Linked DNA regions of Drosophila melanogaster. The gene in region 2 interacts genetically with the main gene of each other region. Each region holds a gene or a part of one and is shown on either strand. Other genes may lie near its edges. The genes, in order: TkR99D and disp.

Region 1 (4,889 bases), about 24 Mb from region 2:
GCTTAGCAATCCGAGCAAAAATAAATACGTAAGAAGAGAAAATAGACGGGTGCTGCAGTTCCGCCCAAATGTCCAAGACTCTGGAGCTATGGATCTTTGGAGCTCTGGACTCGGACTACAATAAATTCAGTGCCCCAGCACCCACTTAGTCAATTTATTGCAATTATGTGTAAATTGAGGAACAAAGCGGAGACAGAAGTGAAGAAAGGCTACCTCCGATTCCCCATTCCCCCCATTCGATTCCCAGCGCTGTGGCTCTCACTCCCATTTCAATCATCTGCCAGTCGGTGTATATTCTTTGGCAGATCTGCTCGGCGTGGAAAGATGGGGAGCAGTGGCGAGGCCGAGGGGCAACTGAGTACATTTCAGTTTTGAATTGTATTGCTTTTGCCCATTGAATGACTTCTCAGCTGGAGCTTTTAACTTTCACTTATTCAAAATTGATAGATTTTTTTCGTCTCCGGAAATATTAACCAATTCGCTCGACTTCATTTGGGAAAAAATTGAATTTTTATTCGGATCTACGATCAAATGAAATATTTGACAAAGGCCAAATGCCAAATTAAAGTTAAGCTTCACAAAGTCATAAATAACATGCTGCCACAAGTGTTATTTGCATATTGTTATGTGCAACATTTTATATTAGACACACAAAGTTGTTCAATGCCAATAAATTGGACAATTGTCTTGTGGACACATGTGCTGGGTGTGCGAACAATGCCATCGAATTAACCCATTTATTTAAAGGCTATCCCTGTGGAATACACGTCCTGTCCACCGACAAGGACACTGCATAGCTCGATGGGGCTGCATAAAAGAGGGACGAACTCAACTGAGCACCGCTAAAATATGCACATGATTCACGGACTTGTTTAGGACCGGCACTGCCTTCATTTAAATTCATTCGGGGCGGAGATGGTGAACTGGTGTCCAGCTGAAAGCTGAATGCTGAATGCTGAAAGCTGGGGAAGAAAGCCGAAGTTACACACGTCTCCGGCGCCAAAGGACCTGCTATGCTGCCCTCCACCTCCAGCAGCACATCCTCCTTCGCTCCGATGTCCAAAGTCCAGTGTCCACTGGCCAATGTCCAGTGTGGCCGGGCAAAGACGTCAGCAGTGGGGCGGATGCCGCATCGGTTTCAATTTAATTAAATGTTTTGATGCATGACAGCACTGTGGAGCAGCACTGGACATACGGAACATACGGCACCCCACTCACTTATTACTGATTCGCATTCGTATTCGCTTAAAGATACCCATCCGTTCACGCCTGCCTGAATCTTTAAAGGCCGCCTTTTGGGGCCAACTAATGGCCTCGGATCCCCTCCTGCTCCTCCGCAAGCAATTCGCGCTGAAAGGATTTCGGTTTGCTCAGCTGACCGTCGGCAAAGCTTTTGTGCGGATGCGTTCATTTGGCCGCCAAACAGCCATTTATCCGGATCCAAAGACCCCCGACCACATCCGACAGCCCACATCCCACATCGACATGCCTAAAACCACAGGACTTTGCCTCCTCACTAATCATAGTTGACATTAAATATTTAGAAGCGGAGAAAGTTGTGCCAGCCACTGATTGAGTTAGATGATGTCTGGAATCTCGGAGGAGCAATTAAGTGTGCTGTTTGGCCAGCGGATTCACTTGAAAGCGCTTCACTTCGAATTCGAAGGAAAGCTGGAAATGGACACTTCGAGTGAATTAATTTTCTTCAATTAAAGTGGCAATTATGTCGGGAGTTCACAAGCGAAATACCTTCGAGGTAATGAATGCCTTGATTTGATTGATGATTTATACTTAAATTTCCGATTGATTGCAGGGTGGAGTTCATTTGGCCACAAGTACTTGATTAAATTCAATTAATTAACTGCTCAAACACTTAATCAAGTTTTAACATCTAACGAAGAGATACACTTTCGTTTGCCTTTGGTTTACATTTTTCTTAAATATCAACTGTGTATGAACTCTATAAAATCCAGCCAGGAAGTTTGCATGCATTTAAGGCTTCTATTTACGTTCCCCTTAAAATTAAATGGCTTAAAAAAAAAAACAACCAGCGCTGAAACGCCTTCGACCCCAAAATAAATACATTTGAAACACTTTGCTTATTTGCATTATAAACATCAGAGCTGGGCACATGTGAAAATACCCAAGGGATAAGCCAATGCGCACGGTTTTATTTTATTTTACTTTATTTTATGGCACAGGATGTACGGAATTGGTGCGTTATTTAAAAAGATTATTTCCATTCCGCCGTGGGCCTAAAAAACGCAAATCGCAATCGAATTAATTGTCATTCCAGGAGATTTGCTCTTCCGACCAGATTTCCGAAATCTGAGATCATCGGAGAACCTTTTCATCGGGCAAAGTCAATTGGGTGTGATGGTTTTTGGCCATCGGTTAACTATTTCTCAGCTCACTGGAGTCGTGGAACTCGTTGCTCAAATTGAGTGGAAAATCGGGATGAATGGGAATGGCCTACAGTTTGATCTTTCGAATTGGGTTAGTCACTTGATTAGGCTCTCGATGTAATTACATTTCGAGCTAAAGTTACCAGGGCAGCCGAAAGTTGTCCACAAATAGCAGTTTTCTAATTACTTTGGCGACTCGAATTTCCATAAACTTGTAAACCAATTTCGGTTTGGTTTGTGCAATAAACTTTGCAATTCAAGCCACCACCTCCCGAAAACAATGTTTTTGTAATATGGAAAAACAATAATGAGTGGAAAGAGAATGAAAAAAAAAAAACAAAATACTTTGGGCAGTGGGAGACCGCTTACCAGGAACTATGCTGAAATCCCCACTTCTTCGCTCGGCCAACGCGGCGTATGAGCAATGTCAGCCAATTGCAGGCAGCGAATAACAAAGAAATCGTATTTAAAAATAAATTCCGCTGCTCGCCTTCTGCTGCTCTGTGGTTTCGGTGTTTATGTTTATTAGTTTTAATCAAAACACCAATTTGTATATTCACTTTAACGACTAGTTTATCGTTTTTGCGTGTTTGCTCGCTACGAAATTGAATTTGATTTTCAATCCACTGGGCCGAATTCAATTACGTTTACGGATCGACTGCCGGCGGCATTTCAGCCAGCTCTAAGCTGATTTTCCAGCATTTTTCCAACACTTCTCCGCCAGCTTCAGCTATCACCTATCATCAGCGAATTTCAGGAACCGAGAACCCGGAGAACCGACAAGTCCAAAAAATCCGGACCCGTCGCCTTTTCAGTTCGAACCGTACGCGCGCGAGTCTGCCGTTGAACTGAACGGAAAGCGGAAAACTGAATGCCAGCCGGAATTTTCTGAGGCTGTGCGCGCTGATATGTCGGTGTTATAATAAGGGCCACAAAAAAGTGGGCGGTTTTTTTTTCTGCGGCGGGGGGGGTTCCCGTGGACCTCGGGGACTCCGGCCGCTTGTTGCATATGTTGGGATGTTGCACTGGGGACTAGGGCTCACGTAACCCCTTTGCGTTGAGGGCCTTTTATTTTATCGGAGCAATGAGCAACGTTTCCATTTGAAAAGCGTTGAAATCTGCGACGGAATCGAACGGAAACCCGCCCAAATTCACCAGTGTTGCCGAGTGTTTTCTTTCTACGCCTGCGCCCTATCTTTTCCTCTCGCTCTGCCTTCGTTCGCTCTCTGTTGTCATACGGCTATTCGTAAACAATCCGGACTCCGGCGATTCTGCCACGTGCACGCCACGCACAAGCGGAAAATCAAATGACCAAGATGTCTTACAAAATATACACACATATGCACAATGAATATATCGCTTCCAAAACAGCACTTTCAAAGCGTTTAATACCACATTCAAAGGAAGATGTTTATCAATACACTCGAATAATTTGTTTTAGGTTTAGAATGCATGTTTACAAATTCAATAGGGGTATATCATTGAAATAGATTACACATCTTGATTATCAGTGCAAAGTGATTTGCTATTTTTGCTAAGGTAGCCAAGTCCTAAGGCTAAAATTCCCATTTCCCATTAAAATTCCACTTTCCCAAGTGGAAAGGCTACGAAAAATTTTGGATTAATTTATCAAAATATAGAATGTAATACCTCGTTGAGCTCGTAATTGCATGCCTAATCGATTGGCATTCAAGTTTTGTTGATTTTGAAAAATAAATTTTTGGCCAATTTTAGCAAATTTTAATGATGGTACCCCTTATCAAATTTGCGAAAATTGGTCCAAAAATTAATTTTTCGAAATCAATTAAAAAGTGATTTGGATCGATTGCTTAGGTCACAGGCTCCAAAAAACATGTATAAAACTGACTGTAATTATGATTTTAGCCAAATTATGGGTATAAAACCGCAAATTCTCCTATTTTCCATACAGAATATGTCTCTATTTACATTTTGATAAAACAATTACAATTTTACAATTACCATACATACAAAGAAATTGTTTTCAGTGCAGAGCGTATGTTTGTTAGTTTTGGCCAAATGACTTGGCTCTTTCACACCAGACAGCCGCAGGTGTTGGTGGCTGATCTGGCCAAAAATGCCTAAAGTAAGCAATGAATCCGAAATGCCTCCCCCTCTTCGCCAGATTCGGACGTCTTAATTTGCTGGCGGAGATGGAATCCCGCAACTTCATCCGCTGCACATGCATCAATGTCCCATCAATCACTCCATTTAGTTGTAACAACTGAGCAACGAATGGGTTGCATGTAAAATGAGATGACCTACACCATGGTTTGGCACACATATTCGACTGATCCAAGATGAAACAAGTCAACTTAACTAGCTTAGGTAACTATTTTCCAACGCTTTGAAGGCGATGTCTCATTTAGATTATTTTCTCGTCTTACATTTTGTGGAAGGAGGATACACAGTGAAAGCAGGAGGTCATTAAATTTCTTTATCTCTCGCTGACGTGCAGTCCATTGA
Region 2 (8,036 bases):
ACTTAATTAGCAATTAGAGGGAGGCGTTAAATCTTAGGCAGATCTTCTGTACACTTAGTTTCGGGTTCTGTGATTTTTCGTTTAAGCTCGGCTCACAATCGGATGTTGTGAGTAATCCTTCTCAATTAACCTTATTTCATTAAAATCCACCCCAAAATGCATACAATGTTGCTTTCAATTCGCGTCCGAGCCAAAGAGTATAAATAATTACCGAAGTATTAATTTTTTTCCTTCTAGCAGATGTACATATATATGTACATATGATCAAAACCGACTAACTTTAAGCAACATTTACCATCAATTCTATGGTATACAAAGACGAAAAAGTGCTCAACAATTTGTTTATTTCTGTCTACTGCTAATGTGCTCATCTTGACTACTGTTATCACTTGTTGCCGGGACACTGGCGCCACCTTCAATTTCCTCCGCCTTGGCTGGCACTTCGGATGTGAACCGGAAGAGGACGGGCACCTCTCCTATGGAGGGATTTCCGTTCGCTTCCAACAGGCGAATCCACGAGAGCAATGAGTCCTTTGTGGAGGTGCCTGTGGCACAGATGGCCATAATGGTTCCGTCGTCCTGTTGGTGGACAGAGCGCAGCTTTCCCAGCTGGTTGTGTCGCCTTGGTGGAGCACGACCAAAGAAGGGTACTTCGATGTGGGAGACATCGTCCTCGTCCAGCTGCCGCTCATCTAATTCAGACAGGAACTCAGAATCTGCATCAGCGCGCAGGGTAAAGTAGTTGATCCGGCGATTCCTAAGCCATATGTGAAAGGGTCCCTCGATGTACAGAGCTTTCTGGCGAGAGTGCTCCCGCAGCAGTTTCTCCTGCTCGGGACTCATTCCGCTCACGATCCACGTATCGTCAATGGCATCCTTCAGCTCGCTGGTCTCGAAAACCGTGATTTTGGACCGCAGGTCGACCGTGCACATCCGCTCTAGCGCCAGCTTGGCCATTTCCAATGTATCATCCGGAACAGGATCGGGCAGTGGCCACGGTGATAGGTTCTTAAACTTTGGCATCCAGTACATCATGCGCCAATACTTGCGCAGTGGATGTCCCTGCCTGCCAAACACATTAAGCAGCATCGCCTCCATCTCGTGATCGGGCATCACCCCGCAATCTTCCATCTGCTCAAGCAGATCAATGATACACTGCTGCTGTTTGGGGTAGTGCATGAACTCTGCCTGGAACATGTTGGTGGGTATGAACTTGCCCTTGGGCATCACGTTGATCAGGGCCTTGTAGACCTCCAAGTCTCTTTCCACCCCGAAATCCGCCATATTCTTGAGTGCCGCGTAGATGAACTCCACATGGTTCCGACGGTGGACGTCGCGCTCCTGGAATATCTCCACCATGGTCAGGTAGCTGTTTTTCGTCCTGTCCTGGGCGGCGGCAAAGGGGTTCCTTAAAGCCGGCAGGTTTTTGGTGCCGGGTTTTTGTGCCCTGGGATTTGGATTCGGGTTCTGTTTCGGATTTCCCTCGTCCGTAGCGTAGTTTCGAAAGCGGCTGACCAGCGAATGGCCTCCATTGCCGTGCAGCCGGAGCAGGCATTGTGCGCGGCGCAGCATTTTTTATTTATAATTAATTAATTGAATAAATTTGCAAATACGATTACAAAACATTGCACAAGCTGCGGAACTAGTTCGCGTTTTGCAGCACTGCTGCTGCAACATATGTTTTAATAGTGCCGATAGTCTAGCGTATTTAGCCAAATTTGGTAAATTCTAGGGCGAAAAATTGTATTTAGTTTCGGCTGTACCCAAAGATTTTCAAGCTTAAATAGTGTCATGACCGTAATACACGCTTAAAGTCATACGCTAGTAACAAAAGTTGAAGTGAATATTGCATAAGCTCATTGTGACTACCTTCACGAATCTCTTCCTTCGGAGAACAGCTGTTTGTCTGGCTTAGGGCCATCATCACTGGTGACTGAGTTGCTCAACACTGTATTAACTCAGTGTATCCTTTGTGCTGCTTTTTGTTGTTATTTCACCGTTTTCTGCGTTATCCTTATTCGCATAGTTTTCGGTTGTTTTTCTGTTGTTTAAGTTAGTTCCGAACCCTGAGTTATTTGCACGGGCGCGCGCCTACATAAAAATGCAATCCAACAAGCCGATCTCTGCGGCGGAGGCCTGACCAGCAGGCAGTATCTATAACAGAAGCAAAACAATAGACTTTGGCTTGGTCCCAAGGAGCACCCACCAGCCCAACGTTATTCGAGACTTCCAGCCGCCAAGGATGCACTGAAGGGAAGCGGAAACCCAAGGAGCATTTGATGTTCCCGCAATGCGAAGAGGGTAAAGAGGATTCGGGCATCACATTCTACTGACATGTTGTGCTTCGACTCGGAGAGGATGAACTGGTACTACCACGTCCTGGCCAGGCGTCCCTACCTGGTGGTCGTCTCCATTGCTGTCTACTGTGTCGCTTGCATCATCGTGGCCCTCGTCCTGAACAAGCTGCCGGACTTCAGTGATCCCACCTTGGTTTGTCCTATTAGATTTGTCCAAAACATGTTCACTGCTTGATATTTGGAGAATATATCTTATCTTATTTTACAATTATTTTTTAAAATATTGAGCACATGGAAATAATCCGAAAATGTCTAAATGATATTATTTTATTTAAATTTCGTTATATATCTATTTTTTTTAAATATTAAGAAGTTAAAATATTTTAAATATTCACAGAATTGCTATAAGAAACTACAGGATTACTTGTATACAAACTATTCCTGTATTATATTTTCATTGTTATTATGTTATTGTTGTAAAAATTGTGGAAAATAATAAGATTAATTTCTCACTAATATGACTTATTTGATCACTTTATAATGTGATTATTTGTCATGATTAATATTTATGATTCAACATTTATTTCACTTTAGGGCTTCGAAACCCGCGGCACCAAAATTGGAGAACGACTGACGGCCTGGTACAACCTGCTGCAAGAGACTGACCACCATGGTGCTCTTTTCTCAAATCCATCGGATCTGTGGGAGAGGAGACGGGTAGAGCAGGGCTATGTGGAGACGAAGCTGCATCCGAATCACAGGCGACGCAAAAACAAGCACAAGAACAGAAACAAGAACAAGCGACGCAAGGAACAAAATCAAAGCAGCCACGAGCATCACGATGTGGCGCAGAAGATGATGCAGTTCAAAAAACGGCTGAAGGCTACTAGTTCTCCCTCTCCAAATCTCGGCTTTGACACCTGGATCGGGGACAGTGGAGTATTTCGCGACTACGAGATTACAAACGACAGCGCTTCCTCCTCTTTGGAACCCACGCGACGCACTGAGCAAATCGAATATGGCCACAACACCACCTCAGTGGACGAGGAAGAGCATCAGCAGCGGGTGCAGACCAAGAAGAGCACTTGGCGGCTCCTAAAGCAAGCCGCCACCTTGCCCACCGACGGTTGGGCAGACATGCATCGTCGCCAACCCATCGAGGGATTCTTTTGCGATTCATCGCCCCGGAAGGAGTACTCTCATTTTGTGGTCCAGCGGATCGGTCCCAACGCCACCGATTCTCTATTTGATTTGAACGGACTGCTGGCCATGTGTCAGTTGCAGGATCAGATTACCGAAGTCCCCAGCTACCGGGCATTTTGCGAGCCGGAGATGCTTACCACCGAGTGCTGCCGGCCATGGTCACTGCCCAACTACGCCGCCATGCTGGCCAACAAAAGTTCCTGTTTCGACCTTACCACGGAGGATGTTACTTCGCTGCACACGCTGCTCTTGGGCTGCTATGAGTACTTCCATGACCTAAAGATGGACAACCACTGCAACGAAATACCGCATTGTCGTGCTCCTGAAGAGTGCAAGCGGCTAAATATCGTCTTTAACGTCCTGAATTTTCTCACCGACTTTAGTTTCATCAAGTCTAATGTAAGTTATTGAGTTTAAAATAAGCTTAGACCCCAAAACTCTTTTATTAAAACAGATTTGTATTTGTCCGTTGCTTTACTCGTATTGCATTAAATTCGACCATATAATATTGGCACTTTTTTTTTTTGTAGGACTCGAATGTATACCTGAAATACGCCATGATTTTTATACCCGTGGCGCAATCCAACCGCTTGCTGCCACTGTTCCACGAATGGGAAGACGTGTAAGTATGGAGCACAGCTAATATTTGCGAAATTGATACCGGTCGATGGGTGTGGAGGGCATTACATTATTTTTAGCTTTCATCAAGGCCGGAACGCATATGGTATCAAAATAGGTGGTCAAGTTGTACTTTGTGAAAATTTTTCGTAAATCGCTGGCGATTTTGTCCAGAGTAGTGTCCTTTAGCCTACGTTCTGGATAGAAGGAGCTCCTAAACGGCTCCGTTTCCTGCAGGAAATTGTAATAGCACCCATATGTGGTCCGATAGTCCTCGTCCTTGAGAGAGTAACCTTTTTTGTTCCTATAGCGCCGTCGACTTACAAAAGAAACGAAGTCATTCCGAGAGTAATCGTTCATGTACACCGATCTACGAAGGTCCTTCACAAAGTCCTTCAGAATTCGGAAATCCACAGGCGGATACATAAAAAATAGCTTGTAGATCCTTTCGTTACACCACTTGTTGCGCTTGATGAACTGTGCGTAGTCCTCCCGCCAGTCCATTGATTGGGGCCATGTCTTTGTTTTATATTCAATGCCACCAACCTTTAGATTTGCGCAGTAGTGACCACTTATTAGAGAGGGATCCTCTTGGGTTTTCTTAATCGGGGGATTGTAAACGGCTCTTTCAGTATGATCCACATAATCCGCTCTGCTGGTGGTTACAAGCACCCTCGTCCTTGGCAATTCCATTTTAATTAATTCCTTTTCCCGTTGAACTGGATCCATTTTGCAATTTTTTTTGTATTTTTCTTTTATTTAAAAATATTTTTGATGTTTTCTGTTTGATAATAATATTCTGAATGATTTTTCAGGGAGCTGATCAACGAGCTTGTGGAAGTGGTTGCGATGGACTTGGGCCTCGAAAACGAACTCTTTAACGAGCTGCTGCTGACGGACGTGTGGCTAGTTTCGCTGGGAGGGACATTCGTCATGGCTAGCGTGTGGTTGTACACGGGATCGGCATTCATCACCTTGATGTCCTGCGTAGCCATATGCTTTTCGCTAGGACTAGCGTACTTTTTTTACGCCATCGTGCTGGAGTTTGAGTTCTTCCCCTATATGAACCTTCTGGCCGTGGTAGTAATAATTGGCATTGGAGCAGACGACGTATTTCTGTTTCTTAAGATCTGGCACTGTGTGCTGACCGAGAGGTTCAGCAATCGATGTACCTTGACCACTCAGTCCCAGAGTGCTCTTCCCACCCTGGAGAACAGTGATCACACGGAGTCACTGGAAAACATAATGGCGCTGACTATGCGACATGCCGCTGCCTCCATGTTCGTTACCTCACTTACCACCGCCGGCGCCTTTTATGCCTCCTACAGCAGCTCTATAACAGCTATAAAGTGCTTTGGGTAAGTTAATAAAAGCAAGATTAGATGAATCTTAATATTTAGTAATGCTCATTTAATAAATTATATTTTTAGGATTTTTGCGGGAACTGTCGTGGTGACCAACTACTTACTAATGATAACTTGGTTGCCTGCATCGGTCTCCATCATGGAACGACTATTTGCCACAAGGATGTCCTGCCATCATCCGATGTCAATAAAGCTGATCCACGCCTGCAAGAAGTCAATTAACCGATTTTGTCAGATGTTTGAGGAGTGCATCACGAAAAGCATCATGAACTATGCCTATCTCTGGCTGCTGATCTTTGGGGCTCTAGGCGCGTCCAGTGCCGTCATTGTGTTCTGGTATCCAGGACTTCAGTTGCCGGAAAAATCACACTTCCAGCTCTTTGTGTCAAAGCATCCATTTGAGGTTTACTCCAGTCTCAAGCAGCAGTTCTGGTTCGAGAAACCATTGCAGGCGTACGAGAACTTCAAGATGCACATGCATTTCGTCTGGGGCGTTCAAGCGGTGGACGACGGCGACTATACGAACCCCAACTCATACGGCCACCTGCACTATGACAATAATTTTAACGTATCCAGCAGGCCGGCACAACTCTGGATCCTTGATTTTTGCCAGAGTGTGCGCCAGCAACCCTTTTACAAAGAGACTCTCGGCATGCTGTTGCCCAATTGTTTCATTGAAAATCTTATCGACTATATGAAGCGCAGGTGAGCATATACAATTATATACATACTTACAATGGCTTAGAAAGCTCATTAAAACTGGGTTCAGAAAAATCGATTTTGTTTACATTTGAAAGCTGGAACTGGTTTAGATGGATTAAGACAGGAGATATAGAGACACCAATACAATTTGCAATCATTAATAGAAGCTTTTGTTCATGTTGTTCAGATGCATCGATGATATGGACAGTACCAGGAAAGACCGTTCACCCTGCTGTGACGCACAGTTTCCCTTTGAGCCGCACATATTTGAGTACTGCTTGCCACAAAGCATATCCAACATGTATGACACTACATTTTTCCGGCCCGGCGTGGCAGGACCCAAGTTTGCAGAGGCTCCCCGACTGGAGACTGAGGATTACCTAGGAATGAGTGGAAATGAGAGTGCAGAGTACAGCACCAACGGATCATTTACACCGCTACTAGTCAAAGCCCTGGTCATCGAGTTCGAGTCCAACGTGGCCTACAGCACCATCTACGCAAATATTAGGCAGTTCTACGAGTCTGTAGAGCACTGGTTTCAGATGCAGTTAAAAACGGCACCGCCGGAACTTCAAGGAGGATGGTTCACGAGCGACCTGAAATTTTACAATGTGCAGGACACCCTTTCGCACGACACCTTTGTTGCCATTTGTCTGGCCATGGCTGCATCACTTGCAGTGCTCCTATGCTTCACCGTAAACATATTGATTTCCATCTACGCCGTACTAACCGTGTCGCTAAGTATTTTTAACACCGTGGCTGTGCTCATCCTGCTCGGCTGGCAGCTTAACATCTTGGAGAGCATTGCGGTGAGCACGGCTATCGGTCTGGCTGTGGACTTTAGCCTACATTACGGTATTCACTACCGGATGTCCCCGGTTAAGGAGAGATTGGCAGCCACACAGTTTGTACTATCCCGCATCATTGGACCCACAGTGATGGCGGCCACCACAACTGGTCTAGCTGGCGGAATCATGATGGCATCCAACATATTGCCCTACATACAGATTGGCGTCTTCCTGGTCGTTGTCATGATCGTTAGCTGGTTCTATGCCACTTTCTTTCTAATGAGTCTGCTTCGGGTTGCCGGTCCTCAGCATGGTTTTCTGGAACTCAAGTGGCCGTTGTGGAGCAAGCGAAGCAGTGGCAGCAGCAAGTTCTACGAGCGGTAAGGCTTTTATCGTATTGACCCTTTCAATTTTCTATATCTCTCTGTTTTGCGTTAATGTCATTTTTATCAAGCCTGACTGACGGGTGACTACCCGTTATCGGTTATTAAAACTCGAATTTCTTTGTGCAGGAAACCCAGCCAAGTGATCGCCAGCGAGCAGCTGCTGACCCCCACAAGCTCGGCCATCGTTGAGTTGGCGAACTCGGAGACGCACGAACTGGAGTCCCTAAACTCCAACAGCCTGATCAAAACCATTTCGGGCATCGAAAGCGCCCACGCATTGTCCTCGCTGCCGAGGGACTTCGAGCACTCATTCCAGACGATGCACGAGTGCAAATATCAAACGTATCCGTCTACATCCAATTGAGTTAGTTACTATTGCCGGACAACGCGTTGTTGTTGCCAAGAAGAATCAGGCAACTGCATTTTTATACAGGGTACGGCGGCTCTCAAGCCTGCCCGAGATACATTTATATATACATATACACGCCGTGTGTCGGCATATTTAGTTTTAAAATATGCTGGCGGTGGCATATGTACGTGTTGTGCGAGTTCTACATTGATATACTCTAGATATATGTGTAATTGTACTTGGTAGGATTAGGCAAAGCTATTTTCAAAAGACTCCAGGCTATTGCAATATGCTTTTATGCTTTTTTTTTATCTTGTGACATTTCACAT

Evidence for each region.
Region 1: of disp (region 2) and TkR99D, changing one suppresses a phenotype caused by changing the other (phenotypic suppression), as found in Drosophila melanogaster (one study listed by BioGRID).

Annotation. Positions count from the first base shown.
Region 1 is NT_033777.3:29,966,209-29,971,097, forward strand, and holds the start of TkR99D (Tachykinin-like receptor at 99D), read right to left. Parts: upstream 3,240-4,889; 5' UTR 2,775-3,239; intron 1-2,774. UniProt on the Drosophila melanogaster protein: Receptor for tachykinin-like peptides.
Region 2 is NT_033777.3:5,850,207-5,858,242, reverse strand, and holds the start of disp (dispatched), read left to right. Parts: upstream 1-1,931; 5' UTR 1,932-2,334; coding exon 2,335-2,490; intron 2,491-2,891; coding exon 2,892-3,899; intron 3,900-3,960; exon of another isoform or gene 3,961-4,030; coding exon 4,031-4,122; exon of another isoform or gene 4,123-4,139; coding exon of another isoform or gene 4,140-4,847; exon of another isoform or gene 4,848-4,911; intron 4,912-4,933; coding exon 4,934-5,476; intron 5,477-5,548; coding exon 5,549-6,187; intron 6,188-6,371; coding exon 6,372-7,352; intron 7,353-7,484; coding exon 7,485-7,722; 3' UTR 7,723-8,036. Other genes in the region: ECSIT, read right to left, coding at 343-1,572; CG34287 (uncharacterized protein), read right to left, coding at 4,140-4,847. UniProt on the Drosophila melanogaster protein: Segment polarity protein which functions in hedgehog (Hh) signaling.